2 linked regions of the Cricetulus griseus genome follow. The protein of the gene in region 1 purifies or fractionates together with the protein of each later gene. This does not show direct contact. Links are inferred from orthologs where the notes say so. Each region holds a gene or a part of one and is shown on either strand. Other genes may lie near its edges.

Region 1 (16,463 bases):
GTTGCCCATGCCTTCAGTTCCAGCACTCAGGAGGCAAAGGCATGTGGATCTCTGAATTTGAGGCCAGCTTGGCCTACAGAGTTAGTTCCCAAATAGCCAAGGCTTCATAAAGGAACCCTGTCTAAAAAGACAAAAAACAAGAAAAAGAATAAGTTGTAATGACATGTGACCTACTAAAAGCAACCTAGGGCTTTGTGGTCCACCAACACATGCATTCTCTTAAAAATCAGACAAGTTTTATTAAAACACAGGAGGCAGATCCTGTTTTCATACATACTGAAGAAAAATCTTAAGGGTGAAGTCTTTCCATATATAAGGTATCCCACTGTTCTAGTTCTACCTTTATTTAATCAATAAAGGAAAGAAGGGAATACAGAGAGTTCTCTTAGACTATTGTTCTACTGTAAAATGCCCTCTTTGGCTTTCCTTTTTTTGTTTTTCGAGACAGGGTTTCTCTGTAGCAGTCCTGGCTGTCCTGGAACTCACTTTGTAGACCAGGCTGGCATAGAACTCACTGAGATCAGGCTGGTAGAGCACTCACTGAGATCTGCCTGCTTCTGCGTTCCAAGTGCTGAGATTACAGGCATGTGCCATTACCACCTGGCCCTTGACTTTCTTATTTTGAAGTCTTAAATTTTTGCACTTATTTTCTAGCATATGTATCATATGTAAAATGTCTTCAGGCAATTCCTTTTTTTTTTTAATAGTATATATGTATGTGTGGGCATGCAGGCATGTGGCTGCCTCAGCATGTATGTAAAGATAGAACACAGCTGTAAGGACTTGGTTCTCTGTGGACCAAATCCCAGTTAGGCCTGCATGCAAGTGTCTATACTACTAAAGCATCTAACTGGCCCAGGCATTTATGTAATGTATAAAGAGCTTTTTACAGCCTATCCTTTCACTCATCTCAGAAGTTGTCATGAACTCATTTTAATGCAGGATACATATATAAGCAATATTAGTGATTGTTATCATTTTACTCATTATCGTCCACCCTGGTGATGTTTTGTTATGTTATATTGTTTTCTAGGGATTCTGATAATAAATTATTACCAGCTGCCGCCCTGGCATCAGAACATTCTAAGGGGGCCTCCTCAATTGCAATTACTGCTCTTATGGAAGAAAAGGTAGATTTTACTGGCTTTAGAATCTAGTTTTTTACAGATTTTTGTTGTTTTGTTTTGTTTTATTTTTGCTTTGACTTGTAAAACTTAAAAACTATTCCTATTTTTTGTTTTGTTTGTGTGTGTATGTGTGCTTCTCAAAGGGTTACCAAGTGCCTGTCCTTGGGACTCCATCTTTGTTGGGACAGTCATTATTACATGGACAGTTGATCCCCACAACTGGTAAGTAACATTATTTTGATTTGGACCCTTTTCCCTTTAGGAAATTATTAACAGTGAATCTAACATTCATTCTTTTTTATTTATAAGGTCCAGTAAGAATAAATGCTGCTCGTCCAGGTGGTGGTCGACCAGGTTGGGAACAGTAAGTACATATTCAGAATAACCTTCAGATACTTGCCTTTGACCTAAAAAGTAGAGACTACAAATTAGACAGAAGCTTGGTGAATGGTTATTATAAACTCCTTTAAATATGCCAGATTAACATACTTTTAAACGTCACAATTCAAATTTGCATCTCCAATTATTATCTGAATGAACAAATGTATTTGACACTTGAAAAACTTGGGGGCTAGAGACACTGACATCCATACAATTGAAAATATACACATAACTATGTTTGTGTCTGTCTGTGTGTGTGTTTGTGTCTGTGAGTTACTGGGAATTGAACCCAGGGATTTAGCATGCTAGGGAAGTATTCTGCCCTGGAGCTTTGCCCCCAGCCCATTACATTTAATTCTCCAAAGCTTTACTCATAGTCAGTCTCTTGACTGGCCTTCCCCCAGTACCATAGTTGATTGACTCCTTATATGTACTATATGTGGTGGAAAATGTATGATACCCAATTTAGCAAAAGTAAACCACACATGGAGATCATTAGTACCTCCCAGTGCTTTAGATAAATGCTTAGAGAGTAGAATTCCAGAGGCACCGTGTATACAATGATTAATTTTAACCAGTTTTGATCTAGTATTGCATCTTTGACTTTTCTTGGCTGAATAATGCTGTATATAGCCTACATAGGTTTAATAAATTTTAACTTTATGAGGTTAGATGCTTTGTGGCTTAAGAAAAAAAACAATAAAATGGACTTTTAGCAATATTTAATGTATTCATAACACCCTTTTCAATTCTTTACTATTTTCAAGCTACCTGGTCTGTCTACAAATTTTTCAAATTGTCATAAATCTAAAAAAAAAAAAAAAACCACAGTAAGTGTGCTCATAAAGTTAAAACTCATTTCAAGGTCACCTTGTAATTCTTTTCCAAAATAGTAAAATACAGATTGATAAGTCCATTTCTTCCTAAGAACATACGGATCTTGATAGGACCTTAGATTAGTGCGTTGATCCTATGTGTGAGTTTTCTATATTTTTATTTTCCTAAATGGTTGAACTCATCTTATTTGGATGGGCAAAATACAGTTTAGTAAGTAAACACATTGCAAGATTAATGTCTACCACAAGAGTTCCTCATTTTTTTTCTGGCTTGTTAATAGTTATTGAAATCTACAGGATTGTATGATTTTCTGCCCTGACACACAAAGAATATTAATGTCTGTAAGATGCTTTATGGCATTAAAAATTAGTAGATTTGGGCTGGAGGGACAGAGGACCTGAATTCAATTCCCAATACCCCACAGCCATCTGTAACTCAGCTCCAGGGGATCAGTGCCCTCTTCTGAAACTTCTAAAGCCACCAGGCATGCAAACATGCATGTTAGAGAAAATAGACTGAAGAGAGATTAGCAGAATATATCAGTAGAAGAACGTGAAATTTAGAGACAGACATACCTGAGTTGGCATCTGTTTACTGAGTATAGGACTGTGAGCGTGTAGGTTTCTCCTCAGCCACCTTTTTTTTTGTTTGTAGCACTCAAAAGCATGTAAAATACCTACATAGAGCCTTGCAAATTAAAGGTCCCTTTTCTAAACATTAAGTCTGTAGAGTGCTAATGAAAATATAGAATATTTTTTAGCTTAGATCTTTAGAACAATTTTAAGAATTCAAGATTATGAAAACATTTTCAAAAGTTAAAATTCTTTCAAGTATATGCACTGATAGGTTATATATTAAACTTAGAAATACTCAATTCTGTTTTTCTCTTTCTTCATCTTGCACAGTTCCAACAAGCTTGGGTACCTGGTTTCTCCACCACAGCAAATTAGAAGAGGGGAAAGAAATTGTTATAGGTAAGCATGCTGAAACTGTTGGAAAATAATTCCATGGCACACTGGGTAAAGAAGTAAAACACAGAAGTGATGAGGAAGGAGATATTTAAGTCTTTAGCAGTTGTCCTTAAGTAATCTAGGAACTAGGGGCTATATAGTTCAGTGATTAATTTCTGCCTAGCCTATGTTAAGTCCTAGGTTCAATCCCCAGCAGATGCAGTATAAAATCTCATTTGAAGTTATGTTTACAAAAACTGTTTATTGCTAAGTGTAGTGCACACATGTAATCCCAGCATTTGGGAGGCTGAGGCAGGCAGATTGTGAGTTGGAGGCCAGCCTGAATGACATACCAAGACCTGTCTGTGGAGGAAGGGCAGGAAGGTAGTATGGAAAAGCAGAATATAGGACAGACGAATTAGCACAATGACAAAAATTTAAGTCTCCATCTTTGGTATGTATGTGAACATGCATGCTTACAGAAGCCCATGGAGGGTGTCAGGTACCCTGCTCTACTATTCTCTGTCTTATTCTTTTGAGAAAAGATAACTCACCGAAACCGGAGCTAGACCACTAGGCAGCAAGCCCCAGCAGTCCCCTGTTACCCCTCCCAACACTGGGGTTACATATAGGCATGCATGGCCACACATTACTTTTTAGGTGGGTGTTGGGAGTTTGGTTGGGCTCAGTTCTGTGCACTTGTGCAAGCTCTCTTACCCACTCACTGAGCCATTTCTTTGGCCCATCGGGCTCTGTTCTTTGTATTGTTTCCAATGATTACTTGGTCTGTATCAGTACATGGCAAGATACAGCTTATGAAGGAAAGTTAGCCAGTTCAGCTCCCAGATGGGAAAAAGTATTGTGTTTCTTTCTGTCCCAACCTTCTTTTCCAAAAGAAAAGTCCAGGAGATTTGTTGGGGTTCTTACTCCCAGGAAGCCATAAGTTTTACTATGGTGGTGATTATTTAAATCAAGGTTCAAAGACTTCCAGATTTGTTAAGGCTATTACTGATCTTCTAGTGCTCCATTCAGAATTGCTAATCTTATGACAGTTAGATGCCTTTGTGACTAGATTGCATTAAAAGAAGTTGATGTGTACCAATTCATGGTTCTGAGCACATTTAACCCTAAATGCCTGCTGTTGCTGTCACATACCATTTGCTTATTGTATAAAAAACCATTAGCTTAACAAAAGCACACACAGATTCTTTGAGACAGTTCAGAAACTTTAGCACTGTTACTTCAGTTTATAAGGGAAAACATTGACATTTTCAGTTTTGATTACAAGTACTGGAATTCATATGATTCTGTTTTGTTTGGTCTTCACCCACTTCCTCCAAAAGGAAGTTACAGTGGTTTTTAATGTGAATTTTGGGTCTAGAAAGGCATTTGGGAGAGACCTAGATCACAGCCGTGTTAACCTGTCACTTCCTTCAAAATATGTTTCCTGTTTGTTGCTAAGTGACCTTAAAAAGTAGATCTTGGAGCTGGAGAGGTTTAGTGGCTAAGAGCATATGATGCTCTTGCAGAGGATCCACGATTTTGAAATACAGTTAGTTGAGAGATTTTTGTTCTGAGCAAGTTTTTGCTGTTACTCAAGCTGGTGTCAAAAGTGATTGTCCAGCCTCCTGAGTAGTTGGGACTGTAGACCTACATCACCATACTTGGCCTGTAGAGTTCATGTATACAAATACATCTTGATTTGAGTAGTTGATTCTATTCCATTTTTTTATACTTTGGAAAATAAGAACAGAAAAAGACAACCTCATTTGTCTCAGATGAATTTAATTTAAAGGTATAATACCTTGGAATTTATTTCTCCAGAAGTATAAACCGCGGGCGACACCACAGCGAAAGATCCCAGAGGACTCAAGGCCCATCACTACCAGCAACTCCCGTCTTTGTACCTGTTCCACCACCTCCTTTGTATCCGCCGCCTCCCCATACACTTCCTCTTCCTCCAGGTGTACCTCCCCCACAGTTTTCTCCTCAGTTTCCTCCTGGCCAACCCCCACCTGCAGGATATAGTGTCCCTCCTCCAGGGTTTCCACCAGCTCCTGCCAATATATCAACACCTTGGGTATCATCAGGAGTTCAGACTGCTCATTCAAATACCATCCCTACAACGCAAGCACCACCTTTGTCCAGGGAAGAATTCTATAGAGAGCAACGACGACTAAAGGAAGAGTGAGTATTTTCATTTGAAGTTGTCATACACTTTTTCATTTTCTGATACAACATTAAATAGGTATTTTGGAAACATTTTCCAGTGTTTCCAGTTAGTAAAGAAAGTTCACCTAAAATTTAAACCAAAGCCATACGAGCAACTTCGTCAGGGATACCTAGTTATTTATAGTTTTAAAGTAGAGAACTAATGGCAATTTCATTCATTTCATTCATGATCTAATTACATTTGTCTTGTTAGTTTTCTTAAATGGTTTTTGTTAACTTTCACTCTTTAACTTTATTTTACTAGGGAAAAGAAAAAGTCCAAGCTAGATGAGTTTACAAATGATTTTGCTAAGGAATTGATGGAATACAAAAAGATTCAAAAGGAGCGTAGGCGCTCATTTTCCAGGTTAGTGTTTTGCAAGCCTTCACAACAGAATTACAAATGGGACTTTGAATATCCAGGGATTACCTATGGATATAAATAACACTGCACTTATGAGATTTTTCTGATTCGGTCTAGTTTTATAGAATGGAGAAGATGTAGCTTATTCCCCAATATGTCCATTAAAATAATGTCTCAGTGTAAATTCTATTGTGTAGAACTAGCATTTGTGGGGACTAAATTGTCCTTGTCCCTTGAAGTTATTTATAATATGAAATAAATGGGGAATGTTTATGGAAGGAAAGACATAGGGAACTAGCCAGAGAGCATTCTGAGGGCCTTTGCCATAAAGCTACAGCTTCTTGCTGGAACATTAACCTGTGTGATTAAAAAGCAGTGGTAGAGTACACATTGTTGTATTGATAGAAAAAAACTGAATTACAGAAGTTCCCTGGAAGTTTTTTGTTTTTTAGACTTAAATTTAAAATGTGGTTCCTTTTAAAGCTAGACTGTTGGCTAGTGTAAGATAAAAATAGACTCCTAGCTTAAATAATCAGACAGGAAATTTAAATTTAATTGGCATTTGTTTAATGTTAATAAGCTCATAAAACTCTTGGTACATTAATGCACTCCACTGATTGTCAATACTTGCCTTTTGTTTTGTAACAAGTGGTTTATGTACTTTATTCCATTCCAGTAGAGGTCACTGTGCCTCTTTAATCATCTAAGTTGAAACTTGATGCAAAGAAAGATAAAACTGTTAGAATCTATCTGTTTTTATTTTGTATATATTTCTCAACCATCAACTGTGTTTTTGTTTTTAGGTCTAAATCTCCCTATAGTGGTTCATCGTATTCAAGAAGTTCATACACTTACTCAAAGTCAAGATCTGGCTCGACACGGTCACGCTCTTATTCTCGATCCTTCAGCCGCTCACACTCTCGCTCCTATTCACGATCACCCCCATACCCCAGGAGAGGCAGAGGCAAGAGCCGCAATTATCGTTCACGGTCCAGATCTCATGGATATCACCGATCTAGGTCAAGGTCACCTCCATATAGACGTTATCATTCAAGGTCAAGATCTCCTCAAGCATTTAGGGGACAGTCTCCTACTAAGCGTAATGTACCTCAAGGAGAAACAGAACGTGAGTATTTTAATAGATACAGAGAAGTTCCACCCCCTTATGACATTAAAGCCTATTATGGGCGGAGTGTCGACTTTAGAGACCCATTTGAGAAAGAACGCTACCGAGAATGGGAGAGGAAATACCGAGAGTGGTATGAGAAGTACTACAAAGGGTATGCTGTGGGGACACAGCCTAGACCCTCAGCTAACAGAGAGGACTTCTCTCCAGAGAGACTTTTACCTCTTAATATCAGAAATTCACCCTTCACAAGAGGGCGCAGAGACGACTATCCTGCTGGACAAAGTCATAGAAATAGAAATCTAGGTGGCAGCTATCCAGAAAAGCTTTCAACAAGAGATAGTCACAATCAAAAAGATAATACAAAATCAAAGGAGAGTGAGAACATTCCAGGAGACAATAAAGGAAACAAGCATAAGAAACACAGAAAACGAAGAAAGGGGGAAGAGAGTGAGAGCTTCCTGAACCCCGAGCTGTTAGAGACCTCCAGGAAATCCAGGGAGTCATCAGGTGTTGATGACGCTAAGACAGATACATTGTTTGTTCTCCCAAGTAGAGACGATGCTACACCTGTTAGGGATGAACCAATGGATGCAGAATCTATCACTTTCAAATCAGTATCTGAAAAAGACAAGAGAGAAAAGGATAAGCCAAAAGTAAAAAGTGACAAGACCAAACGGAAAAGTGATGGATCTACTACAACCAAGAAAGAAAATGTTTTAAAACCTTCTAAAGGACCCCAAGAAAAAGTAGATGGGGAGCGTGAAAAATCTCCTCGGTCTGAACCTCCACTTAAAAAAGCCAAAGAGGAGGCTGCAAAGACTGATTCTGTAAAACCTTCATCATCGTCTCAGAAGGATGATAAGGTCACTGGAACCCCCAGAAAAGCCCACTCTAAATCTGCAAAAGAACACCCTGAGACAAAGCCAGTCAAGGAGGAGAAGGTGAAAAAGGACTGTTCCAAAGACATCAAGTCAGAAAAGCCAGCTAGTAAGGATGAAAAGGCCAAGAAGCCTGAGAAAAATAAACTACTTGATAGCAAGGGAGAAAAAAGAAAGAGAAAAACTGAAGAAAAGAATGTAGATAAAGATTTTGAGTCATCATCAATGAAAATTTCTAAAGTAGAAGGAGCTGAAATAGTGAAACCATCGCCAAAGCGAAAAATGGAAGGTGATGGCGAAAAGCTAGACAGGACCCCAGAAAAGGACAAGATTGCATTATCAACTGCCCCAGCCAAGAAAATTAAACTCAACAGAGAGACTGGGAAAAAAATTGGAAGTGCAGAAAATACATCTACTACAAAAGAACCCTCTGAAAAAATGGAGTCAACATCTAGCAAAATTAAACAGGAAAAAGTCAAGGGAAAGGCCAAGCGGAAAGTAGCTGGAACTGAAGGCTCCAGCTCCACACTTGTGGATTACACCAGGTATGGGGGCCTGGGGGGCAGGTGTCCTTTTTGGGCAGTGATATCCTTTGATCTTATACACTTATGTTCTTGAGAGCCTGGTTCATGGCAATTCAATAGACTAGCCTAGTAGCAGCATAGTTTCAGGCTAGGTTATAACAAGTTGGATGAACCACATTGGTTTTTATAGTTTGATCATGTGTGTGTTTCTTAGAGCATAATTTAATTTTTTTAAAGCTAAAAAAGACATCCTATTTTAAGCTGGCTTTTCAAATTTTTATTTATCATTAGTAAATTTCTCATTAATTAAAAGTATATTCATTTATTTTAGTACAAGCTCAACTGGAGGCAGTCCTGTGCGGAAATCTGAAGAAAAGACAGATACAAAGAGGACAGTCATTAAAACTATGGAGGAATATAATAATGATAATACAGCTCCTGCTGAAGACGTTATAATTATGATCCAGGTTCCTCAGTCCAAATGGGATAAAGATGACTTTGAATCTGAAGAAGAAGATGTTAAATCCACACAGCCTGTACAAAATGTAGGGAAACCATCTAGTATCATAAAAAATGTTACTACTAAGCCGTCCGCTCCAGTCAAGTACACTGAGAAAGAAAGTGAGCAGTCAGAGAAACTTCAGAAGCTCACCAAAGAGGTGAGCCACGAAATGACGCAGCATGAAGTCAAAAGCTCAAAAGGCTCTGCATCCAGTGAAAAGGGGAGAACCAAAGACAGGGAGCACTCGGTGTTAGAGAAGGAAATCCCTGACAAGAGAAAGAGCAGTGCCCAGCCAGAGAAGGAGAGCACCTCAGACCGTCTGAGTGAACAAGGAAATTTTAAGAATCTGTCTCAGTCTTCCAAAGAGACCAGGACTTCGGATAAACATGAATCTGTTCGTGGTTCCTCAAATAAAGACTTCACTCCTGGAAGGGACAAGAAAATAGACTATGACAGCAGAGAGTATTCTAGTTCCAAGCGAAGAGATGAGAGAAGTGAGTTAGTAAGAAGGAAGGACTCTCCTCCTCGAGGTAAAGATTCTTCATCTGGACAGAAAGGTAAGCCGAGGGAGGAGAGAGATTTGCCTAAAAAGGGGACAGAGTCCAAAAAAAGTAATTCTAGTCCCCCAAGAGACAAAAAGCCTCATGATCATAAAGCCCCCTACGATACCAAACGCTCATGTGAAGAGACAAAGTCTGTAGATAAAAACTCTGGGAAGGAACGGGAGAAGCATGCTGCTGAGGCTAGAAACGGGAAAGAGTCCAGTAGTGGTGGCAAGTTGCCGTATATACCTAACCCACCAGACCCTGCAGTTGAGAAAGAAATGGTTGCTGGACAGATTGATAAGAGCACCATCAAGCCAAAACCCCAGTTCAGTCATTCCTCTCGTCTTTCCTCTGATCTAACTAGAGAGACTGATGAGGCTGCTTTTGAACCAGACTATAACGAGAGCGACAGTGAGAGTAACGTGTCTGTGAAGGAAGAGGAAGCTGTGGCCAGTATCTCCAAGGACTTGAAAGAGAAAACAACAGAGAAAGCAAAAGAGAGCTTGAACGTAGCAGCAGCCATCCAGCCAGGTGCAGACAGGAGCCAGAGTCAGAGCAGCCCCAGTATTAGTCCAAGTAGAAGTCACAGCCCTTCTGGCAGCCAGACCCGAAGCCATAGCAGCAGTGCCAGCTCAGCAGGAAGCCAGGACAGCAAGAAGAAGAAGAAGAAGAAAGAGAAGAAAAAGCACAAGAAGCATAAAAAGCACAAGAAGCACAAGAAGCATGCGGGTGCAGAGGCCGACGCCGAGAAGAGCCAGAAACACAAACACAAGAAGAAAAAGGCAAAGAAGAGCAAGGACAAGGACAAGGAGAAAGACGACCAAAAAGCGAAATCTGTCACTGTGTGAAGGACGGATGTTTTAATTGACTTAATTACTAAGTCATCTGTATTAAACTCTGTTATAATGTAAAGAGATTCCAGCCTTGTAAATAATGAATGGAAGACCCTGTGCTGCACTTAAAAAGTATTTGCTGCTTGATTATTTCATTTTTACATCAGAGCTTTATAACGAACTTTTGTACAGAATTGTGAGCTGTGACCATGGAACATGAGAGGTTTTGCTAGGGCCTATTATTTTTAACCACCATTAATTAGTTGGGGTGGAGTTTACTGTACTGTGAAATTTTCACATTTGAATTTTTTTAATTGCCTGGCAAATGCTGGTATCAGTTCAAAAATATCAGCAGAATGATTTGCTGAACTCATTACAGCCCCGTTATGTCACTTTTTGATTACAATAAAAGTTTTCAGTAAACTTCTTACATGTTGAAGATGTACATTATTTAGAGACAATAGTGTCTCATTTCCTCTCTTTCCAATATCCTTCCAGCCTTTATAGACAGAATTCTAAACATTCCAAATGTACTTCAGAGGGGGCTGGTAGAAAATCCTCATTTCTGATAATTAGAAGTTGGGTTTCGGGGGCTAGAGGTTAAGAGCACTGACTGCTCTTCCAGGGGTCCTGAGTTCAATTCCCAGCAACCACATGGTGGCTCACAAGCATCCGTTATGAGATCTGGTAACCTCTTCTGGCCTGCAGGCATACATGCAGATGGAACACTGTATATATAATAAATATATCTTTAAAAAAAAAAGTTGGGTTTCTAAAAAGGGGATGGGGTGCTTTCATCTTAGAGATGAGGAATTGGGCCTATTTTCTAGCTGTTTTGTATTTTTTGTTTTGCATTTCCCCTTGGAATTCTGCTACATTATGCTAAATTCCTTGAAGAAACAGAAATCATTTAAGCCAAGTGGTTTTGTCTGTCCTCTCCCCACTGACAAAAGTAAGTGGTCATGAGACTAGCCTCTCCTCTGCTGCTTTAGGAACCCAGTGATGGCACCAAACTCAGGTCCTGTGTAAGAGCAGCAAGCACTGTTCACCACCATGCCATCTTTCCAGCTCCTGAGAGCTGGTGTAAAGGAAATTAACACAAGTGCCGAGGGTATGAAAGCCATCCAGGCCCAAGTTCATTTTGGAGATGCTGCCTTTGAGCCCAAATACTTTTGGTGATGGCTCTCTCTGCCATAATGCCAGTGGCACTTGTTTGTCCCCACATATGCCTGATGTCTGGAGTGGCATGTCCTGACCACTCCTGCCTGCATGCCACTTAAGCTTTGAGATAATCCAGCTAGATTATACTCTTAATTCTGGCTGATCAGATCTATAACTTGATCCTGTTTCCCACATCCATTGTAGATTTGGTACACAGAACCATCCTATCTGATCTGAGTTTCTCACATTGGGCTCATTCTTTAAGCTTAGCTGGCCTGCACTTGAGTTGCAGCCCACTCCTGTGACAGTTTCCTGGCTACTGACCATGTGAAGGTGTTGTTCCTTTGCAATTATCAGCACTTGTCCAGCTTCATCAGTTAGTGTTTGAACTCCTTAGTCCTTTCCATTATTTTCTTGTGACCTATACCTTTTCATATGTCAGCGTCCACAGAACCTATGCCTGCTTAACAAAATTGAAAGCCTTGACTTTCAAACACTCAAAAGCTGGAGACCTGGCTCAGTGTGTTAAATGCTTCCATAAGCCTGAGGACTTGAGTTTGAATGCTGCAAACCCAAGTAAAGCCAGGACCACATATGCATCTGTAATCCCAGTGTTCTTACAATGATGAGATGGAGGGTAAAGATCAGAGATTGTCCAGAAGCTTGTGTAACTGTATGTGGCAAACAACAGACACTGACTCCAGGTGGAAGAGAAGGTCCAACCCCAGGCTTGGCCTTTGACCTCCATTCACATCAAAGACATTTTATTTTGTATGTGACTATATAGGTGTAGAGATTGGAGGACAACTTGAAATAGCAGCCAATAAAAAGATTTTTGCTTTTTAAATTACTATTTGATCTTTTTGTGTGCATACCCCCATCCCAGTACACCGAAGCTCTTCATCTTTTAAACTGAAGTTAGTCATTAAGGCACTTTCCTCAACCGAGAGGCACACCACCTGAGAGGAATTGTGCCATTAGAGGGCAGAAGCAGCTACTGACGGTGGTGCTCTCAAACAGCAACGCTCCCTCTGTCCACAGCTTGTTAAGCTATACAGAAGCACAAATAGCCATTTGATTTATAAAAGTTAAATGTCGCTGACAGCAAAACAAAAAATGCCAATGCAAGTTGCATTATCACTGGGTGACGGTGGTGCACGCCATTAGTACCAGCACTCAGGAGGCAGAGACAAGAGGATCTCCCTGAGTTTGGCCTCATTGCACAGAGAAACCCTGTCTTGAAAAACAAAAACAAAAAAGTTTCATTGTCTTCATAATTGGATTTGGGAAGGCCCAAACCAACACATTGGTGCACCTCTCCCCACATCCATTCAAGTAAAATTTTACCACTGGCTTAAATCAAAATGGCCCTGCACAATGCTTATGTATAAAATGTCTAAAGTTGAGAACCAACGAGATGGCTCAGCATCATTGAGTTGCCTCAAAAGCCTGATAACCTGAATTAAATCCCTGGGGCCCACATAAAGGTAAAGGGCAGAACAGACTCCATAGACCTTTCCACCTGTACTTGACATTCACGAAGCCCCTCCACACACATGATAAGCACCACAACAATAAAGACAATATAAAACACCTCAAAATTGAGTCATTTGCTAAAGTAAGGTTCCTCATAAAATTTTATTTTATTTTATTAAAATCTCTCATTTTAGAAAATGGTTAGCAATGGATCCAAGAAATATGGCTTCCTCTCAGTACTTTCAAATGAACCAAGGGTTCCATCTATCTTACTTTTCTCTTCCCAGTTGGGTTATTCCTGCTATAGCTTTTTTCTTCCTATTGAGCAGAAACAGGCTGTCCCTCTAATCTTTCCACAAAGCTACCATCCTGCCAACTCCTGGGAATTCACTCTGGCCCTACGAACCTTCTCATCAAATTGTTGTCATCCACCCAGGAGTATCTTTTTTTTTTTTTTTTAGGTATTTTTACTTTGCTTTTTTTTGGGGGGGGGGGGACCTGAAAATAGATTTTTTAATACAATATATTCTGATTACACTTCCACCTCCCCCAGCTTCTTCCAGCTCCTCCTCACATCCCTGCTCACCCAAATCCACACTCTTTCTCAGTCTCAATAGAATATAAACAGACATTAAAAATAATAATAAGATAAAATAAAAATCAGACAAACAGAGCTAGGACAGAACAGTGTCATCTCTCGTTGTTTGGAGTAGGGGATGCATGCTCTAGCAAATCTCTGATTAGGTTTCTCAGATGGTAAAAATGTCTAACCTGTAATTTCAGAGATTCTCTTACCCCTTGGATTCTGTATAAAAATTATCTTCAGTCATACTTAGAGAAATTCTTTACTACCACTTCTGATATAAAGAGTTCAAAGCCATTTGACTAATCCATTTCTTTACAGGATTTTTTGTGGCACTTCCTTTTATTCTAAGTACATTTGTTTTTACATTTTATTTTTGTAACTGTGTGTGTGTGTGTGTGTGTGTGTGTGTGTGTGTGTGTGTGTGTGTGTACAGGCAAATGCATGGGATGAGGGTGGAGGGGAAACCAGTGGACAGTGTCCACCATTTGGGACTCAGGGATCGAAGTCATATCCTCTAGCTTGGTGGTAGCTAGCTAACTACCTTGCCAGCCCTACCTTTGTTTCTGAGTTGTATAAAACATCTGATGTCTTGATCTCCATGGGGAATTTGATCATCATCATGATGTTAGAGTTCAAGGTGCCAGAATTACCAGAAGAGGGCATCAGATCCCCTGGAACTAGATGGTTGTGAGCTGCTGTGTGGAAGCTGGGTGTTTTGCCTACATGTATGTGTAGGTGCCAGGAGAGGTCAGAAGCGGGTATCATCAGATCCCCTCGGACTGAAGTTGCATAGAGTTGTTAGCTGTCATGTGCTCTTAACTGCTGAGTCATCTCTCCAACCCTTTTTTTTTTTTTTTTTTTTTTTTTTTTTGGTATTTTTTTGTTTGTTTGTTTGGTTTTGGTTTTTTTTTTTTTTTTTTTTTTTTTTTTTTTCGAGACAGAGTTTTTCTGTGGCTTTGGAGGCTGCCTGGAGCTAGCTCTTGTAGACCAGGCTGGTCTCGAACTCTCAGAGATCCGCCTGCTCCAGCTTCCTGAGTGCTGGGATTAAAGGCGTGCAGTACCACCCCCCGGCTTTGTTTTTTTTTTTTGGCAAGGGAATGTTTCATGTCCCCGAACCACCTGCTGAAGAACTAATATTTGCCCTGCTGATATTTTCCAAAATCACCCGATAATTGACATAAAGATTTATGTCTGGATTCTCAGTTTTATACTATTGATTCCCATAGATAGACATATAAATAATGGTATGTATATATGTCTACAGATATTTACCTATGTACCAGTTCCACTGTGTATGGGATGTTTTAAAATTAGGAAGTGTGACTTCTCGGACTTTGTTCTTAAATTTTTAAAAGATTTATATATTTTAAAAAATGTTTTACGTGTTTGGTTGTTTTGCCTGCATATATGCATATCACATGTATGTAGTGCCTGCAGAGGCCAGAAGAGGACGACATGTCCTCTGGAACAGGAGTTATAGACGGTTGTGAACCACGGTGTAGGTGTAAGGAACTAAATTAGGTTCTCTACCAGAGTAGACAGTGTTTTGACTGCTGAGCCACCTCTCTGGCAAGTGTTCTTATCACTGAGCCACCTCTCCAGCGAGTGTTTTAGAAATTTTTAGAGACTGTTTTGGTTATTCTCAGTCCCTACCATTTCCATAAAATTTTAGGCTTGTCTATTTCTGAAAAAACAATGGCTAGGATATTACTTTTGATGCTATTATAAATTGAGTGGCTTTTAAAGCTTCATTTGCCTTTAGTTTAAAAAAAAATACCTGTGTGTGTGTGATTGCATGCACATACCATGGTAAATCAAAATGCAATTTTCAGAAGTTAGTTCTCTTTTTCTACCACGTGAGCCCAGGGATCCAGCTCAGATAGTCGCCCTTGGCAATAGATCCCTCTTCTGACTGGTCATCTCTCTGTCAATGTCTTCAAACAGTGCAGGATTTTTACTTGTAAACATGCTTCTTTAAGGTTAAAGGGCTTGAAAACCCAACAGAACAAAAAACAAAACAAAACAAAAGAGGTTAAAGGGCTGTCCCAGCAGTTTTGGGGACCTGGGTTCAACTCCCAGCACACACCTGGTGGCTCACACCACTCTATAACTCCAGTCTCAAGGGATATGACTGCCTTTTCTGGCCCCTGAAGGCACCAAGCACACATGCGGGGCACAGATATACATGCAGACAAAATGCTCATACAGATAAAAATAAAAAATAAACTTTTAGAAAAATAATACTTCTTTCTACTCATTTATAAAGTATTTGTAATTATGGAAGGATGCTGGATTTGATCAAATGCTTTTCCCAAAGCTTTTGACATGGTCATGAGGGTTTCATCCTTATTTTGTTAACAGAGTATTGTTTCATTTGCTTTCTTACGTTAATTTAAGTACATTTCTGGGCTAAATCCCACTTGTGTATACACACACACACACACACACACACACACACACACACACACAGACACACACGGAATAAAATAAAAGTCAATCCTGAATTCAGTTTGCTGGTATTTTCCCACCTATAGAGCTATTGGTTTCTGGTTTTCTGTACCACTGTTTTGGTATCGGGCTCATGCTGTTCTCATAAAACGAGTTTGAAAGTGTCAGTGATTCTTTTTGAGTTAATATTTATGCATAATGCAATGTCCTGGTCAGGGGTCTCCTTTGGCATATGAAAATTAGTTGTGTTGTTGCCATTTGTTTAAAAGGATCTACTGTATCTGTTGTGGTGCCCCTTCTGTTGTTGGCCATTGGGTCTCTCTATGAACTCTCTGGTCCCCTTATTTTTCATGTCTTTGCATTTGCACTGTGATATATTGATTCTTTAATCCTCCAAAATTAGTTTTATTGAAAGTTTTATTCTTATTTTCTACATCCTTTACTTTTCTATGAATTTTAGAATTGATGTCTCAATATTTTGATTGCAATAATGTGTATAATACAATATTTC
Region 2 (16,463 bases), on another chromosome or scaffold:
AAAAGTCCCAAAGCTATGCTCCATAGACAGTCACGGGACTGACATAAAAATACCAATTAACAAACGAAGGAGGATCTATGTGAGTTTGAGGCCAGCCTGGTGTACAGAGCAAGTGCCAGGACAGACTTCAAAGCCACACAGAGAAGCCCTGCCTCAAAAAACAAAACAAACCACACCAAAACAAACAAACAAAAAACACTGATGAACATGGAAAGCAGGTACATTAGAACTCAGCTGTCTAGGCAGGCAGCAAACACCTCCCAGGTACATTTTCAGTGGCTTAACCACAGAATGAAGACAGCTGTCCCTCCCCAACAGTTAAGACTGACTGAAGTTCACACATGACACTGAGGCACATTCTCTGGTAAAAGAAGAAACTTTCTTGACAATCTGTTTTATCATAAGTAAGTCTCCAGGTGAATGCAAATGCTGGCAAGCACTGTCTGCCAGAACAGAAGAACTCACCGAGGGTACCTACCAGCTTTTTCCTTTAAGGGAAACCAAACTTAGTACATTCATCTCTCTCCACACAGAATCCAATAGTATTCCAATCTCCTAAATAACACAGCACAGCATTTGCACATAACTTCCACACACCACAAAGTCACACACAGTCCATTGTCATATATTTTTATTTTCTTTTTTTAGACAGGGTTCTCACTATGTAGCCGAGACTGAGCTTGAATTGGCAATATTCTGGTTTCCATATCCTCAATGATGGATTAGAGATCTGCATTACTGCACACACCACTCCCCTCTACACTCTAACTCTGAACACAATGCAAATAGATTCTACTCATTGGGGACAGGGACAAAGAAAACAGTACATAACATTTTCTTTTTAAATAAATGTAGTTCTGCTTTGTTGCTGACTGAATTATTGGATATGGAACAAGAGAAACTAAAAGTTGCACTATGTCACTGAGAAAAGCACACAGTAGGGACAGGAGCATCTCCAAGTTATACATCACTAGTTCAAAATCTGAAACTCTGAGCACCATCATGATAAAGAAAATTACACACTGGATCTCATGTAACAAGAGGCATTCATATGTACAACTAACTGTTCATGAAATAGAAATGAGTTTCATGTTTGCTTGTGTCCCATCATCAAGATCAACTTATCTATGTAAATATTCCAAAATCTGAGGAAATCAGGAATCCACAACACTTTCAGTCCCAAGCATTTTGGACAAGGGATACTCTCCTTGTATAATAGAAATTACTTCAAAGTTATAGTAATCTCACTGCTTTGGTCATACAACTTTGAAATGAGTACCAAAACACTTCTTAAAACCTACAACCAGAGCTAGAGAAACTCAGCAGTTAAGAGCACTCATTGCTCTTGTAGAGGATCCAGGTTCAGTTCTGAGTATCCACACGGTGGCTCACAACTATCTGTAACTGCAATTCCAGGGTACCTGAACGGCACCAGGCACACATATGGTGCACATAAATCCATGCAAGAAAAAAAACACTCACACAGAAAAGTCTTAACAACAACAAACAAAACCACCTACAATCATCTGCACAGCCTACAGTAAATGTTGTTAAACCATCCACACACATACCCATCCACACGCATACCCATCTTCTACTGTCTCAGTGCCCTTTGTCCTCCTTTTGCCAGGGAAGACTGTGTGAGCAAGAGGAGGGTACTAGAGTGGCCACACTTGAACTTCTCTAGGATTTTTTGTCTATTTGTTTTCTTTCTGCTCTTAGTTGTTTCTGAGTCAACCTAACACAGAAAGCTTCAAGGGATGACTATGTCCATTCTCCCAGAGTCACTCTTTAGGTTCCTAAAGTTTTGTGATATCCACACTCTGTGCAGATATAAAATTGTAATGACAGGAAAATCTTTTGAGTCTTTAAAAACCTGAAACCCAGAAAGCTGAGCAAAATAGTGCCAGCATGAAACTTGTCAGCTCCTGCACGCTGGAGTCTACAGCCTGTGCTCCTCACGGTTCTCACAGGTCAGCCTACTTCTCAGGGATCCCTGGAAGCTAAGTTAAAAACATATTCGAGTTTCAGTTCAAATATTTAAAGATACGAATATGAGGTAGACTAATAACACCCCTATTAGAGTGTGAGATCAGCCTGAGATGCTTACAGGAAATCCTTGTGGTGGTATATTTCTTAAAAAATTCACCTCCCGCCAGGCGTTGGTGGCGCATGCCTTTAATCCCAACACTCGGGAGGCAGAGGCAGGCGGATCTCTCTGTGACTTCGAGTCCAGCCTGGTCTCCACAGCGAGTGCCAGGAGATAGACTCCAAAGCTACCCAGAGAAACTCTGTCTCAAAAAAACCAAAAAAAAAAAAAAAAAAAAAAAAAACCAAAAAAAAAAAAAAAACCAAAAAAAAAAAAAAAATTCACCTCCCTCCCTCCCTATCAGTGATAGGATGGTGGTCCCGACATCAAGATGTGTATTGTTGCATGGAAACTTCTTTGCTGCACTTCTGACCTATTCAGTTGAATTTCATTAAGTCTTTAAAAAAATTTTTTTAACATTGTTTTCTTCTGTGTATGAATGTTTTGCTCGAATGCATGTCTGTGCACCACTTGTGTGCCTGGAGCTCACGGAGGCCGAAAGAGGGCATTGAATTCTCTGGAACCTGAATTTCAGACAGTTGTTAGCCACCATGTGGGTGCTGAGAATTAAACCCAGGTCCTCTACAAAAGCATTCAGCGCTCTTACCTGCTGAGTCATCTTTCTAGCCCCTTTATTACATCTGCAGCATGTGTAAATATCGGGGTGTGTGTGTGTGTGTGTGTGTGTGTGTGTGTGTGTGTGTGTGTGTGTGTGTGTGTGTGTGTGTGTGTGTGTGTGAACACATGTGCCATACAGGAGTAGGTACAACAGTAGGTATTCTCCTTAACCTGAGTCCTGAGGTCAACCTCAGGCCATCTGGCTTGGGGTGGGGGGTGGGAGGGTTGACAGACAGGTTTTACCTGGTGAGAAATCTGGTAGGCCCTGAATTTAATGAAGTTAAGATTGATATACATCTGTGCACAGCACAGTCCGATGATCCCAATGTACTTGGTGCCCTATGTGAGAATAAGTTTAGGTAACCTATCCCCCTTTGATGAATCCATTTCTGACACAATGAATTCACTAAAACAGTGGCTATAGATGGTCAAGAGAACACAGCCTAGAGACCGAGGACAACTGATTTACTCACCAATCCCCAGGAGTTTGCCACTCACTTCTAGGGAACAAATAAGGAACAAAATCCAGAGTGGTGCTGATTACTACTGGGACACATCTTAACAGTACTCTCCTCCCGTCTTCATTTTGAGAAAGTATTTCACTATGTAGCCCAGGCTGGCCTTCAATTCGAAGTGACTCTCCAACCTCACTACTGTATGTCACACTGAGCAAATTCTAGTTTCTTAATGGTATCAATGGGTAATGTCCACACCCAAGAAAATAACCAGCAAATTAATGTGATGTTGAGTAACCACATTCCTTGTCCCAAAATCCAGTTCAGTTTTTAACCTCTGGCCAAGGAGTAATTCAAACTAGTACTGGTTGTAACTTCTACAATCAGAATAAGAAAGACACTAGGCAGCTGCATCTGATGCTTGATTTTAAAATGGAATGGATAGAAATTGTACATTGGACATAGTGATATATGCCTTCAATTCTAACCCTTGGGAGACACAGGGAGGTGGAACTTCATGAGTTTGAGGCTAGCTGGGTCTACAAAGCCTATTATTTAAAACCAAAACAAAATGATGTCCTCATTCTCACAGACACACTTTGATGACAAGTCTTCACTCCTCCTACTATTGCTGTACATCTGTCCATGTCCAAACGTTTTCTAATTGCCATAGCAATTACAACCAACCAACCAACCAACCAACCAACCACCACAAAAGGAGGCCGGAAAACCAAACTCCTGGTCTTCTTAAGGGATTTCTGGCCTCATTACAAAGTCTCTCATGTCCAAAAGAAGGGAAAAGCATTCTAGTTACCACAGTAACACCAAATCACAACGGTTTTGGTCTCCCGTTAAAAAGAATGTTAAGAATGTACCACAGCATGGTGGTACAAACCTATAATCCCATCATTTGAGAGATTGAGGCTGGAGGATCAAGAGTTAAAAACAAGGAACCACAGATATGTTTCAGTGGTTATGAGCACTTGTTACTCTTACAGAGGACCCAGGTTTGATTTCTAGTACTCATATGGCATCTTATAACCATCCATAACTCCAAGTGGCTCTGATGCTCTCTTCTTACTTCCCTGTACACAAGGCACACATGTGCATATACAGGCAGGCAAAACACTGCATAAAATATACACAAAATAAATAAGTCTTAAAAAGGAGACCAGTGAAACTGTTTTCATAATCTGAGACAGACAGAGGGTGGGAACATAGAATACACTAGCTTTCTTTTTGTAAATCACTTTCAAACAAGTGGCTCAAAAAAAAAAAAACCCAAGCACTTAATTCCTAAAGAACAAGTGCTAAAGATGGTTGTAGACACACCATGCCCACAAATGTCCTGGGAGCAGGGCCATACATGTGAAATGTGCCCATAGTAAACAAAGCCACAGGACAAGCACATCTCCTGGGAATCATGCAGCTCATCATTTACCAACTGTCCTTTGAGGTGAGCTCTTCCAAATGAGTATGAAGATGTGCCATGGCTGCTGTTAGTTCTAGAAGGCATTCAATAGATACCGAATGAATGCCTTACAGTTCCAGACCAGCTACAAACCCTAAGGAGCCTAAGAGCACAGCTGGGCATGGTGACGCATGCCTATGGTTGCAGCCTGTGGAATACGCCTTTATATTGTGTGAATCTATGTCACAGCGACTGGTTTAATAAACAAGCTAACTGGCCAATAGCTGAACAGCATACAGCTAGGTGAGAAAGCCAAACCAAGAATGATGGGAAGGGGAAGGGCAGAGTCAGAGAAGTGGCCAGTCAGAGGCAGAGGGAACAGGAGATGAACATGCCATGTTAATAAAGGAACTGCCATGTGGCAGAGTATACATAGGAATATGGGCTAACTAGAAAAGAGGTAGTTAGAAATAAGCCTGAGCTATTGTCCAAGGATTTATAATTTATATAAGCCACTGTGTGGTAATTTGGAAGCAGTTTCCAGGACAGGAAAACTCTGCCTACAGGGAAGGCTGAGGCTAGAGGATCAGGAAATCAAAAAAAAAAAAAAAAAAGAAAGAAAGAGTGTGTGTGTGTGTGTGTGTGTGTGTGTGTGTGTGTGTGTCTGGGGTGGGGGTGGGGGAGCTAGAGAGATGACTCAGTAGTTAAAGAACACTGGTGGCTGCTCTTCCAAAGTTCAGTTCTCAATACCCATGTGTCAGGGCCCATAAAAATGGTTTCCCTTGGCCGGGTGTTGGTGGCACACGCCTTTAATCCCAGCACTCGGGAGGCAGAGGCAGGCATATCTCTGTGAGTTCAAGGCCAGCCTGGTCTCCAGAGCGACTGCCAGGATAGGCTCCAAAGCTACACAGAGAAACCCTGTCTCGAAAAAGCAAAAAAAAAAAAAAAAAAAAAAAAAAGATGGTTTCCCTTCATCTTGGCTTAAGGTCAGAGAGTTCAAAACTATCCTTACTCTTCCAAGGTTAAAGTCATAAGAACTAAAAGTCTAAGGCATGGCTACTGTAGGATATTTGGTCTTGGTCTTATCGAAATAACAGGGGACTTGATCTAAGGTGTGATTACTCAACCCTTAAGGCCAGATAATGAGATTTAGTTTAAGGAGTGGTTACTAAATGTTTGGAGAACTAAGGAAGAAAGTCTGTTTCTTCTTTGTATATTAATAAAGAAGTCTTTTGCCATTTTCTCCTTTTTGGTTGGGGTGTATTAGAATGTTGAAGAATAAACTTGGGGCATTCGGTATTCTCTGGATTGCCCTCCTGACTCTATTCTGTGTCTCTGTCTTTTCCTTAGTGTATTTACCTGCCTTTTCTCAAGCCACACTCTCCCTCTCAGGCACGAACTAGGCAAGTTGGCTAGATCCCACTGAAGACCCACAAAGGCGGATTACTACAGACTGATGCCACAATGTGGGGCTACTAAGCTACTAGGCTAATACACACACACACACACACACACACACACACACACACACACACACACACACGGCAGCTTACAACTATAACTCCAGTTCCAAGATATCTGATGCTTCTATAGGCACCATGTACATATGTGATGTACATACTGTAAGCAAAACACAAACACACACAAAATAACTAAATGAGAAAGAGAAGGGAGGGAGGGAGAGGAGGGAGGGAGGAACCAGTGAGATGGTTGGCTTAAGAGGTAAAAAGGTTTGCTGAATTTGGTCCCCAGGAATCACATTATTAAAAGGAGAGAAGAAACTGCAAAGGTGTCTTCTGATGTCCCCAATAAGTAAATAAGGAAATAGAATTTAAAGAGAAAGATGAGGAGTGGGAGAATGGTAGGGGAGTTACAATGTAACAACTTAGACTGGACTTTCCATGTCCTACTCAAGCTGAGAGAGAGTGTGGGTGCGTGTGAGAGTGTGTGAGTGTAAGTGTGTGTGTGTGTGTGTGTGTGTGTGTGTGTGTGTGTGTGTGTACACATGTTCATAGGGGGTGAATGGAAGGGCTAGAGGACAACCAAGGGTGCTGTTCCTTAGGAGCTCTTATCTTCTTTTGAGTCCATTCTCTTGGGGCCTGGGGCTTGACATTGTTAGTCTGGCTGGCTAGATCCCCAGGGCTCTAAAGTGCAGTGTTCCTGGTACCTAGATTACACATGCACACACTAACACATCTGACTTTTTTATGTAAGTAGTAGGATTGAGCTCAGTTCCTCAAGCTTGTACAGCAAACACTTCACCAACTAGATTTCTCCCCAGTCCTCAAGTAAACTTTCTTTAAAGAAGGATATAAACAAAACTGAACCTAAGCTGGTAAAAACAATTAACACCACCAAATAGGCTCAAGAGATATTAGCACCTAGGAAGGATTTTTTGTAAAACTCATGTAGCCCATGCTAACCTCTAATGTTTTATGTAGCTGAGGATAACCCTGAATCCCCCACCTTCCTACCTCCCAAGCATGAATTTTAAAGATTCATAGCTTTTTCTGAAGATTCATTTTCTTAGGGTGAGGGGAGCCCCTTGGGGCTTTAAGGTATTTTTAAGCATTGATATTGCCTAGGAACTACAAATGACAACTGTTCAGAGTCACAGCCAAGGGACGGTCAGTGAGAACAACATCATTAAAATCAATCATTGCCTAACACAACAGCACAGAAAGAACGGTATGTGGTTATGTCCACAGGATTTCATAGGCCTACATGATGCCAATAGCTCAGACATATCCAAGAAAATGTCCATGGGTATCTATGAAACCCAATATAGATAGAGAAGTCTAACTTTGTTTATAATCTAGGCTGGCCTTGGATTATTGATTCTCCAACTTCAGCCTCCTGAGTGCTGGGATTACAGATATGAGCCATCATACCCAGCTGAATCTAGCTCTTTCCCAAAACTCACTGGAAGTCCTTTCTACAAATATTTGAATATATAGAAGGGTTGAGAAAGGATTGTTGGAAGCCCGTTTTCTCACAAATGTCTTACTCCACAGATACCAGGTGGTTCCAGATTATTTTATGAGTACCTTCTTCAGCAGAATTCCCCAGTTGCAAAGTCTTGATCTTTTCCACTGCTCAAACATGAATGCACAATTTCTCCTTTTGGGAGAGGATTATGCTGAAAATTAGGGTTGCGTAAATACCGTTACCTTTTCTGGTGAAAAACTCCTTGGAATATTTCCCCAACATAGCGTATTTTCGAGGGACTTTCCCCAGCAGTTCAATGATCAATGCTATGTGATCTGCATTGGGAAACATTGCCAGCAAAACAGAAACACATGACAGTTTAATCAGTACACTGCATGCAGACACTATCACTGCCCGCGCAGACAGAAACGGAGCGCGACCCGAATGACCAATGACAGCCTTTGTCCAGCTGATTGAGAACTCAAAGCTACAGAGCATACAGCTGTCCTGAGCGCCAAGAAGGGGCCACTTCACAGGGCCAGCACAGGCCAGACTCAGTCTTCCTTCAACATTTGCACCGGCACAGATACTCTGCTCAGCTGCTTTTGGAATTTAGAAGAAATGCTTTGGTCGCCATGAACGCTGCTCCTGCAGCGTTCCCATTTCTGTCTGCATCGTGGCGCTTTTCAAAGAGAAGAGGTACTACCTCTGCGATTGAAGAATTCCCGAGAATATTTTCCAGACAGGGCAAAGTGCCTTGGGATACTGCCTAGCAGCTCTATGATGTGGGCTATGTGGTCTATGAGGAGAGAAAAAAAAAAAAAAAGGATATAGGAACAGGGAGGGCAAAGGGAAGGATGGGATAAAAGAAGAGGGGAAAAGTGAAATTAGTAAAAAATCAGAAATAGATTCAAACCAACAATGTCTGCAGCACAACCATGCAGAGATTTCTGGGACTGGCAGGCCTCAGACACCAACTGGAGCCCCATCAGTGACTGCAGGCTACCCCAGCATTGCAAGCAAGGAAGCCTGGAGATGGTCAGGTTACAGAGGATTCAAGTTTGAATTCCCTGGTTGTCAAGTGAGCTCCCAAACAGGACAGAAAATGGGCAGCAGCCGCTGTGGACAAAAGAATCACAGAGTGGCCCTTAGGGCTCAGGAACTGGTCGTCATCCACCAGTGGGCTTCCTTCTCCCAGGAGACCAGGGAAGCTCTGTCAGCTGGGTGCTGCCCACTCACTGGCACTGAGGGGGCTTCAAACTCAAAGGAAAAGCATCTGAATTTGGTGTTTGAAAACCAAAACGTGGGTTCGTTTCAATACAATCCTCTCTAGAAGTTGAGGAGGCACAGAACCACATCAATGTACTCAGTGGGCAACAATACTCACCTTCATCTCTGGAATAGTCTTCCCCAGAATGCGGTTCGAACAAATAGTCTCCTGTTGCCAGCTCAAATGCCTAGGACACAACAGATGACATGCTGAGCACATCAGAGATGGCTCAAGAGCCAGAAGCTCTTTATTAGAGGATGCCTACATTTGCAGAGGACCACAAGCAGACTAAAGACCATCCCAGAACAGCTCAACCCCTAGTTTTCCTTTTTTTCCAGAAAGATCACAGAAGCTGCAGGGATATTTTCACATGTCTTCTAATGGGAGAGGGAAGGGGCACAGCTCTTTTTACACTGTAGGAAGTGGAATTCAGGATCTTTTGGGGTACCAGCTCCCTTGAGATCCTTTACAGGGTCCAGTCAAGATTCTATAGCCTGCAAAGAACAGCAGCAGCACTGGTCACTGCACACTACAGCTTCTACACAGAGTGAAATAAGGCTAAATTCAGGACTCAAGCAGGCCTTTGTGAGTCCAAGGCCCCTTAGAGCAATATTGCTGTGCTTTCTTCAAGCACTTAGGATCAAGGACTAGTTCCAGCATCTTGGTCATCATAAGCTTGCTCATCTCTCAAGCAGAGGAGCACCTAGCACCAAGAGTCCTTTCTCTCTTCTACCAGATGCAGCAAATCCCCCTGCAGGCCCTTCTTAGATGGCAGGGAACAGAACTCTCATGCTGCTATACTCTATCTCTCAGAACATCAGCGTGAAGAAAAGCCCACTCATTTCTACTTCCTTTGCTCATAAAAAAAGGCTTAGGACCAGGAGTCTGATTTTGTAAGATGCTCAAAGACAGCACTTGCTATTGTGCTGATGATCAATTGTCTTTTAAAGGTTAACTCCCATTTCTAGTTTCTCCCAGATTTAATGCTACTGTGGTAGCCTTTCCTGCTTGCTGATGCTTGTGAATAGGTGACCATGCTGATACCTCTCCTTTTTGTGAGACTGACTGCTTTTCCCATTGCTGCTGAAGAGCCATCTCCAGCATTAGTCATCCTCCCTCTCTCCCTTCTGATGGCCAGAATGCTGAGAAGGCTCCTTGAGGCTTATTTACCAGGTAACAGTAGTCTAACAAACAGGGCAGCCACATACCCTTGAGACATGAATTTTATCCTGACTGAGAAGGAGGAAAGCAAGACAAGAAAACTATGATCAGCTGCCCCTGTGCTGAGTATAAACTCAGGACACCTGTCCTGAAGCAGACTTGGGTCTAACAGGGCACTGGATAGTCATCTCAGCAGAAGACAGCCCAGAAGCCCAGCATTACAGCTACAGCAAGGACAAGGGCACAGTGCACAGAGGTTCTCTGGTGGGGCCCCACACCTAGCCACCAAATTAACAAGCATGGCAGCTGGACCAATATGATAAAGAAAACTTTTCATTTGGCCCCAATTCCAAGTGGATGAGAATGTCTCATGCCGGTAAAATAAGTCAATAACCTGCAAATCAGGAGGGAAATTTGGAAATTCTAACAGGATGGAAGAGACTTTAGAAGCTACTGGGATCCTGGTTCCAAGGAAAACCTTCCATCCGAGTTAGTCCCTCTTGAGGCTTGTGCTCACCCTTTTCATTGAGGCTACTTCTCTTTGCCCAACATTGAGATGGGCAAAGACAGATGTCCTTTAAAAGATGGTTGTTTTGAACAGCACTCAGGTTTCCAATGTAGTGCTTAGAGAAGGCTATCAATGAAATGATTTAAAAAGAAGAAGAAGAAGAAGAGGATGGGGCTGGAGAGATGGCTCAGGGATTAATAGCACTGGCTGCTTAAGAGCAGAGGCCCAGGGTTCAGTTCCCACATGGTAGTCTCACAACTGTCTGTAACTACAGTTCCATAGGATCTGATATTCTCCTCGGGCCTCCATGGAATCCACCTACATGTGGTACACAGATATACATGCAGGCAAAGGACCCAAACACATAAAATAAATCTTTTTTAAAGAGGGAAACAAAAAAAGAGAGAGAATTAGAAAAAGAGAAAGGGAGAATGGCTCCCTGGATAGAAAGAGTGATTAGCTTTCTTAATACAACAGACAACAGGGTAAACACACGTGACAATGAAAACACATGTTTAATGCTAGCAGCTGTGGAAACAGGAAACATTATTGCCACCTACTGACTAAGCTGTTCTCTATGTCAAGTTCTATTGTTTGTATTCAATATTAGGCAACTCTGGAGTCTCTTTCTGTTTCCCTGGGTCCTGTCTGTTGTCAGTTCTGGGGGTGCTTAGAGCTGGAGGCTTTTGTCAGTCCAGTGACTGCGGTGGGAGCTTTCCAAAGGAACAAGCCTGCAAGGTTGTGAGTGAAGTCACTGTTCTTCCTAGAGAACAAGCCATGGAGGAGGAAGCAAATACACGTGACAATAATTTGTCCTAAGTTTTGTTTTGTTTTTTTTTTTTTTCATTCTGCTGATAACCAGGACTCACCAGGGAGACACAAGAGCTCCCTCCCCTATTTGGACAAGGACACCTATGTACAAAGAGGTAACACAGAATTCCTGACCCACGGCCTTCTGTATTGCTGAGGACAAATAGCAATTTGCCTTGCCACAGCCTGAAATGGGAGACACACACTGCCCATTCTGTCAAGGAAGTCATTTCCTTCTGACCTGGCCTCTGCCTCCTGTAATTTTAGCCTCTACTTCCTCTACCCTCAAACTGCAGAACAAAAGCCTCTCCACACAAATCCTCAAAAGGAAGTACCTATCACATGGACGGTAGCTTCTTTCAAACACTAAGAACTTGACTGTAGGTTCTTATTGAAAAACAAAAGTTTTTAATAATTTTACATTTATTTTCTGGAGTTACTAGAACAAGAGTCTAGGAAGGCATGGTGTTTCATGTCTGGCCAGGCCACATCAATAATTTCAGATAGTGATAACTTGAAAGATGAAAAGCATCTCATGTTTCTCACATCACCCTGTATCATCTGCTTAACAAAATGCTTTTACATTGGACTGGAGAGATGGCTCAGCAGTTAAGAGCATGTGCTACTATTGCAGAGGACCCAGGTTCAGCTTCTAGAATAATATAGACACGGCAGCTCAGTGGCAACACCAGTCCCAGGGGATGAGACACCCTCTTTTGACCTCCACAGGCACCAGGCATGCATAATGACACACAGATATGAATATGAATATGAATATGAATAGATAGATAGAGAGGGGGTTTTCAAGGCAGGGTTTCTCTGTGTGGCCTTGGCTGGCCTCGAACTCACAGAGATCTGCCTGTCTTTGCCTCCCAAGTGCTGAGACTAAATGTGTGCATCAACACAACTGGCCAAAAGTTTTTAAATAGTTAAAATGGCTTTATATTAGCACTACTGGACATAAAATACAGAAGATTCAAAACAGTGATTAAATTAAGTTCTGAACAACAGGTAACCATCATATTTATTCTGCTCCCTCCTACCTGCCCTTTCAGAAGGTGAGCACTAAGCCTTGCATACTTGGCTAGTGGGGGTGAACCTCTGGGCTCCATCCCTGGAACTACAAAAAACTTAAGCAATACTATAGGATAGCCATGGCAGCACTGGAAGCTACATGAACACACGCATGCCACCTTTTCTACCAAAGAACAACAAAAGCCCAGTGAGAAGAATGTGCTGAACTGGCTGGATGCTCAGTGAAAGACAAACTGGTATTAGCTCACAGGTGAGGACCTACTCAGGGTCACCAATTCAGATCAGAGCAAATAGCAAACGGTACACAAAAGCCTGGTGCAGTAGCTATGTCGTAACCTCAGCACTCAGGAAACGAGTTTTGAGACCAGTCTGGACTACATTTTAAAAATGGGACAAATAAAAAGAGTTGCGCTGAAGCAATGGCTCAGTTGTTAAAGTGTCTACCATGGAAGCCCATGAGTTTGATCTCCAGAACTTACACACACAAAGGCCAGGCATGGCAGCATGGGCTTGTAAACCAGCATTAGAGAGGTGGAAACAAACAAGCCCTGGTGCTCAGTGCAGCCAGCCTAACCTAACCAAGAGCTCTAGAACAATGAGATAGCTTGTCTCAAGAAAACAAGGTGGATGACTGAAGAGTAACACCCAAGGATGACCTGTCTTTTACACTCACATGCATGCATATGTGCACGCAGCTATATACACATGTGTACTTGTGTGCATGATGTGTGGTGAGTCTGGGTTTAGCTTACAAAGACAAAAATTCAGAATGTTCAAATCAAAGGGATGTTCCTGCTGCCTCCAGGAAAACAACACTGTGTTCCAGGGAAACAGACTCAAACCCAGGAAGTCTGTGCCACCAATGCTGTCTCAGGAAAGCAAGCACATGCCAAAAAAAGGGGCAGAACTCTCTGCATTTGAGTTACAATAAAAGCAACTGTGCACTGGCAGATGGAGAAATCTCAAGACCTCTGGGAGAGGCCACCTTCCAGTGGTACAAACTTTTAAGTACAGTCACCCCACTCGTGTGAGAAGGCATTTGGCTTTACCTCATAGTGTAACAGGGAGCCTGATACACGTGAAAACTTCCAGAAACTAAAAGCAATTCCTCCAATGAAGTCTGATTCTTGGGGCACTGGGCTGCACGGTGCCCAAAGAAGAGACCATCTGTCACAGACTATACCTCTAGCATATCTGAGGAGAATTCTTCCAATGCTTGTAACACCCAAGCACAATCTTCTCCTCCCCCACTTTATAAATCTCCAGCATGATTCCACTCATCAAGAGGATCCACCAGAAGTCATTTCCAGGGAAAGAAGAGTGGCAAGAGTGAAAGGTTCAGGCTTTGATGCTGATTGGCTCTACCTCTTTAAGAGACAGACCCTGACCCCTGAACAGTCAGGGCATGCCCAAGAAAACGTTCTACGTCATCACTACGTCACCTGTCACCCATGACGACTCTGGGCATGCGTGGAACCTAAGTGCGCATGCGCAGTCTTCCCTTTAAAAGTCCCAACTTCCCGCTTCTCTCTCTCTGCTTCCTCTCTACTCTCCTCTGTTTCTTCTTGGCTCTCTCTCACCTATGCACTCTCTCTGCCTCTATGACGACCGGCTATGGCAGTCAACCATTACCCCTGTTCCTCTTCTCCTAGTCTTCCTACTCTGCCAGGCCCATATAATAAACTAGTCAACATGTCTCATCCTTCAGCTTTCTCTTTTCCTCTCTTTAAATAAAAACATAACAAAGGGGTCCTCACCATGCAAGCTGTACTCCAGATGTCTGCAGGTGTGCTGTAGCCAGCTCCGATCAGAACCTCTATGGACCTATACTGCCGAGTCTGGATGTCCTCTGTAAAATGTTTATGCTGGAATGGAATAGAGGTGATACATATTGTTTTAAAAGAAGCATGTTCTCACACAATATCATCATTAAAATGTAAAAAGAAAACTCTACTTACCACCCAACAAGCATTTCCCAGATCAGCAATTTTTACTCTAATTTTATCTGCATTCTGTGGATCCAGAGGGTTCACCAACAGGTCAGCTGCCCGGGTTTTTGCTGCCATGAGCAAACAGCAAGATAGTTAGTAAAGGGGACAAGAGGTTTGCATGTGTGAACACATGTTTGCCAGGTACAGTCTCAGTGTCTCCCCCCCCCCTCTTAAGGAGAGTGACACGATAAGCCTAGAATCCTGCAGGTTGAACCACTGGTGAAACATTAAACCCACATAAAAATAAACATAGGTAACCAACTGGTAGTGAACACTATGTAGTTCACCATTCCCTACTCCAGCTTCCTCAACTGAGCACTCAAACATCAAGGGTTAGATGACAACTGATTAGCAAATTTAGATTATAGGCAGGGGCTAATCTTTTATGGCTTGGTTTTGAATGGGAAGATGAAAAATAGTGTTCTAACAAGTTGAAGAGGGCCAGTGTTAGGTCAGATGCCTCAATTTTAGGACGACACACCCAGAGGGAGTCTCTACAGCAAGCCCAGAGCCAGGGCTGCTGGCTTCAGAACATCTCTTGGCTAACCCCTTACTATGCTGAAAGTAGTTATGAGAAGAGCAGCACATTCATCTGTAGAGTTCATCTGAGCCCTTATACACTCAGGGTTTTTGGTCACATTGAAATGGAATTTATAGACTAAACAGAAAACTCAGCTTAATGCAGAACATTAATGCCAGCATTGGGGAGTCATTTTGTTCATGCCAAGTTGATGCTTGTGTGCACTAAGCTGCTTTCGTTCAGTGTGTACTGAACTCAGGAACCACAGTGCTTGATGGGGTTCAGTCTGTTGGTAAACCCCAAAGAGGATGAAAGGCTGGACTTCTAACAGCAGGGCAGACTATAGCACAATACCAGGACCTACACTGTCCAGATAATCCAGAGGAAGGCTACAGTCTCAACTCTAGTCACTGTCTGAACTCCCATGGCTTTCTCTATTTATGAATCAGCTTGGGCTAGACAGGCAGAGAGGTTCTCTTCTTGCAACTTGTCTTATGTCGTATGTTTGAGGATGGCTACTTACAGAGGGTCTTATCAAAGACTAGGTAGGAGCTAAGGAAAAGAGAAAAAACAAAGAAACAAATACCACAGGAACTCAGAAGATAATGATAATGAAAGAAGCAGAATAACCTAAAAGAGAAGGCAGAACGTGGAAATGACAACAATCCTGGTCCCTGATAAGCACACAACACTGAACAACAGATGAGTGACTAGATGAGACACACCTCATATTACAACCCCTCCCCCCAGGGTCCAGAACAGTTTTGTTCAACTGGATCCAAATCTTAGTTTCATACCTGAGAATTGCAAGCCTAGCAAATGACAAATTCTTTGAGACTGTTTTCAGGAAAGAATGAAAAGGACCAGCCTCTGTCCCCAAAGACAATACCACTCCACCCAACCCCACCCCACAGCCCCCCCCCCACACACACACACGTATTGAAGTCAGAACAGTATCTGGCTGAGTGGCCAAGACTTGATTTTGCTTTAGGGTCAGTGAGTAAGCAGGCACCTGAAGCAGCTACACAGACATTCTGTGCCACACTTGATACTAGGGAGCTGGGCTGGCAGATGTCAGGGTACCAGGGAAGCAGGTAATTCATAATCTCCTGATCTCTCCTTGTGGTTGTTTATAAAGACACTTCCAAAAGCTGTGTGATTCAAGTGCATTGGAGGAAAATCGACTTAAGACAGTATTACCATGTGTTTAAACAGGTCTCTGCAGGTAACATTACGCTCACTAAATTAAATCTGGTAACATGTTATTATCCTCTAGTTCCAGGGTATCATAAACAATCATAGGTAATTTGTTTCCATAATTGAATTGTATAAGAACACAACAGGAGATAAAATATATTCTGTGTGCCTCTCTGATTTTCTGTCTCAAATGTGCCAGTTTCCATGTGAGGGAGGAACCTGACTGCAGCACGCAGAAAGCCCACATGAGCACAGATGTACTCACACCTGCTGCAAACTCATTCTTGAGCGTGCCTGGACTCTCACTGCTTCCTTAGATTTCGACACCCACAGTGACCTGTCTTACTTGTCTCTCTGATGATGCTAGCACAGACGACTTACTGGCACTCTCCCCTCTGAAATGAAAAGCTGGTAACTTTCCTCTGCCTCCACCAGAGCATGAATAAAAACTGTCAGGTTTTATTTTAGGA

What was found.
Region 2: the proteins of Rbbp6 (region 1) and Srpk2 purify together in Homo sapiens (affinity purification with mass spectrometry; 4 studies listed by BioGRID and IntAct, with this or other methods). This does not show direct contact. The link is inferred for Cricetulus griseus from reciprocal best matches to the Homo sapiens genes RBBP6 and SRPK2.

Annotation. Positions count from the first base shown.
Region 1 is NC_048596.1:77,704,310-77,720,772, reverse strand, and holds the end of Rbbp6 (E3 ubiquitin-protein ligase RBBP6), read left to right. Parts: intron 1-1,033; coding exon 1,034-1,130; intron 1,131-1,270; coding exon 1,271-1,349; intron 1,350-1,436; coding exon 1,437-1,491; intron 1,492-3,250; coding exon 3,251-3,319; intron 3,320-5,119; coding exon 5,120-5,482; intron 5,483-5,771; coding exon 5,772-5,873; intron 5,874-6,673; coding exon 6,674-8,422; intron 8,423-8,732; coding exon 8,733-10,296; 3' UTR 10,297-10,711; downstream 10,712-16,463. UniProt on the Homo sapiens protein: E3 ubiquitin-protein ligase which promotes ubiquitination of YBX1, leading to its degradation by the proteasome.
Region 2 is NW_023276806.1:171,091,522-171,107,984, reverse strand, and holds part of Srpk2 (SRSF protein kinase 2), read right to left. Parts: intron 14,345-16,463; coding exon 14,244-14,344; intron 14,151-14,243; coding exon 14,043-14,150; intron 8,959-14,042; coding exon 8,889-8,958; intron 8,301-8,888; coding exon 8,208-8,300; intron 7,837-8,207; coding exon 7,744-7,836; intron 1-7,743. UniProt on the Homo sapiens protein: Serine/arginine-rich protein-specific kinase which specifically phosphorylates its substrates at serine residues located in regions rich in arginine/serine dipeptides, known as RS domains and is involved in the phosphorylation of SR splicing factors and the regulation of splicing.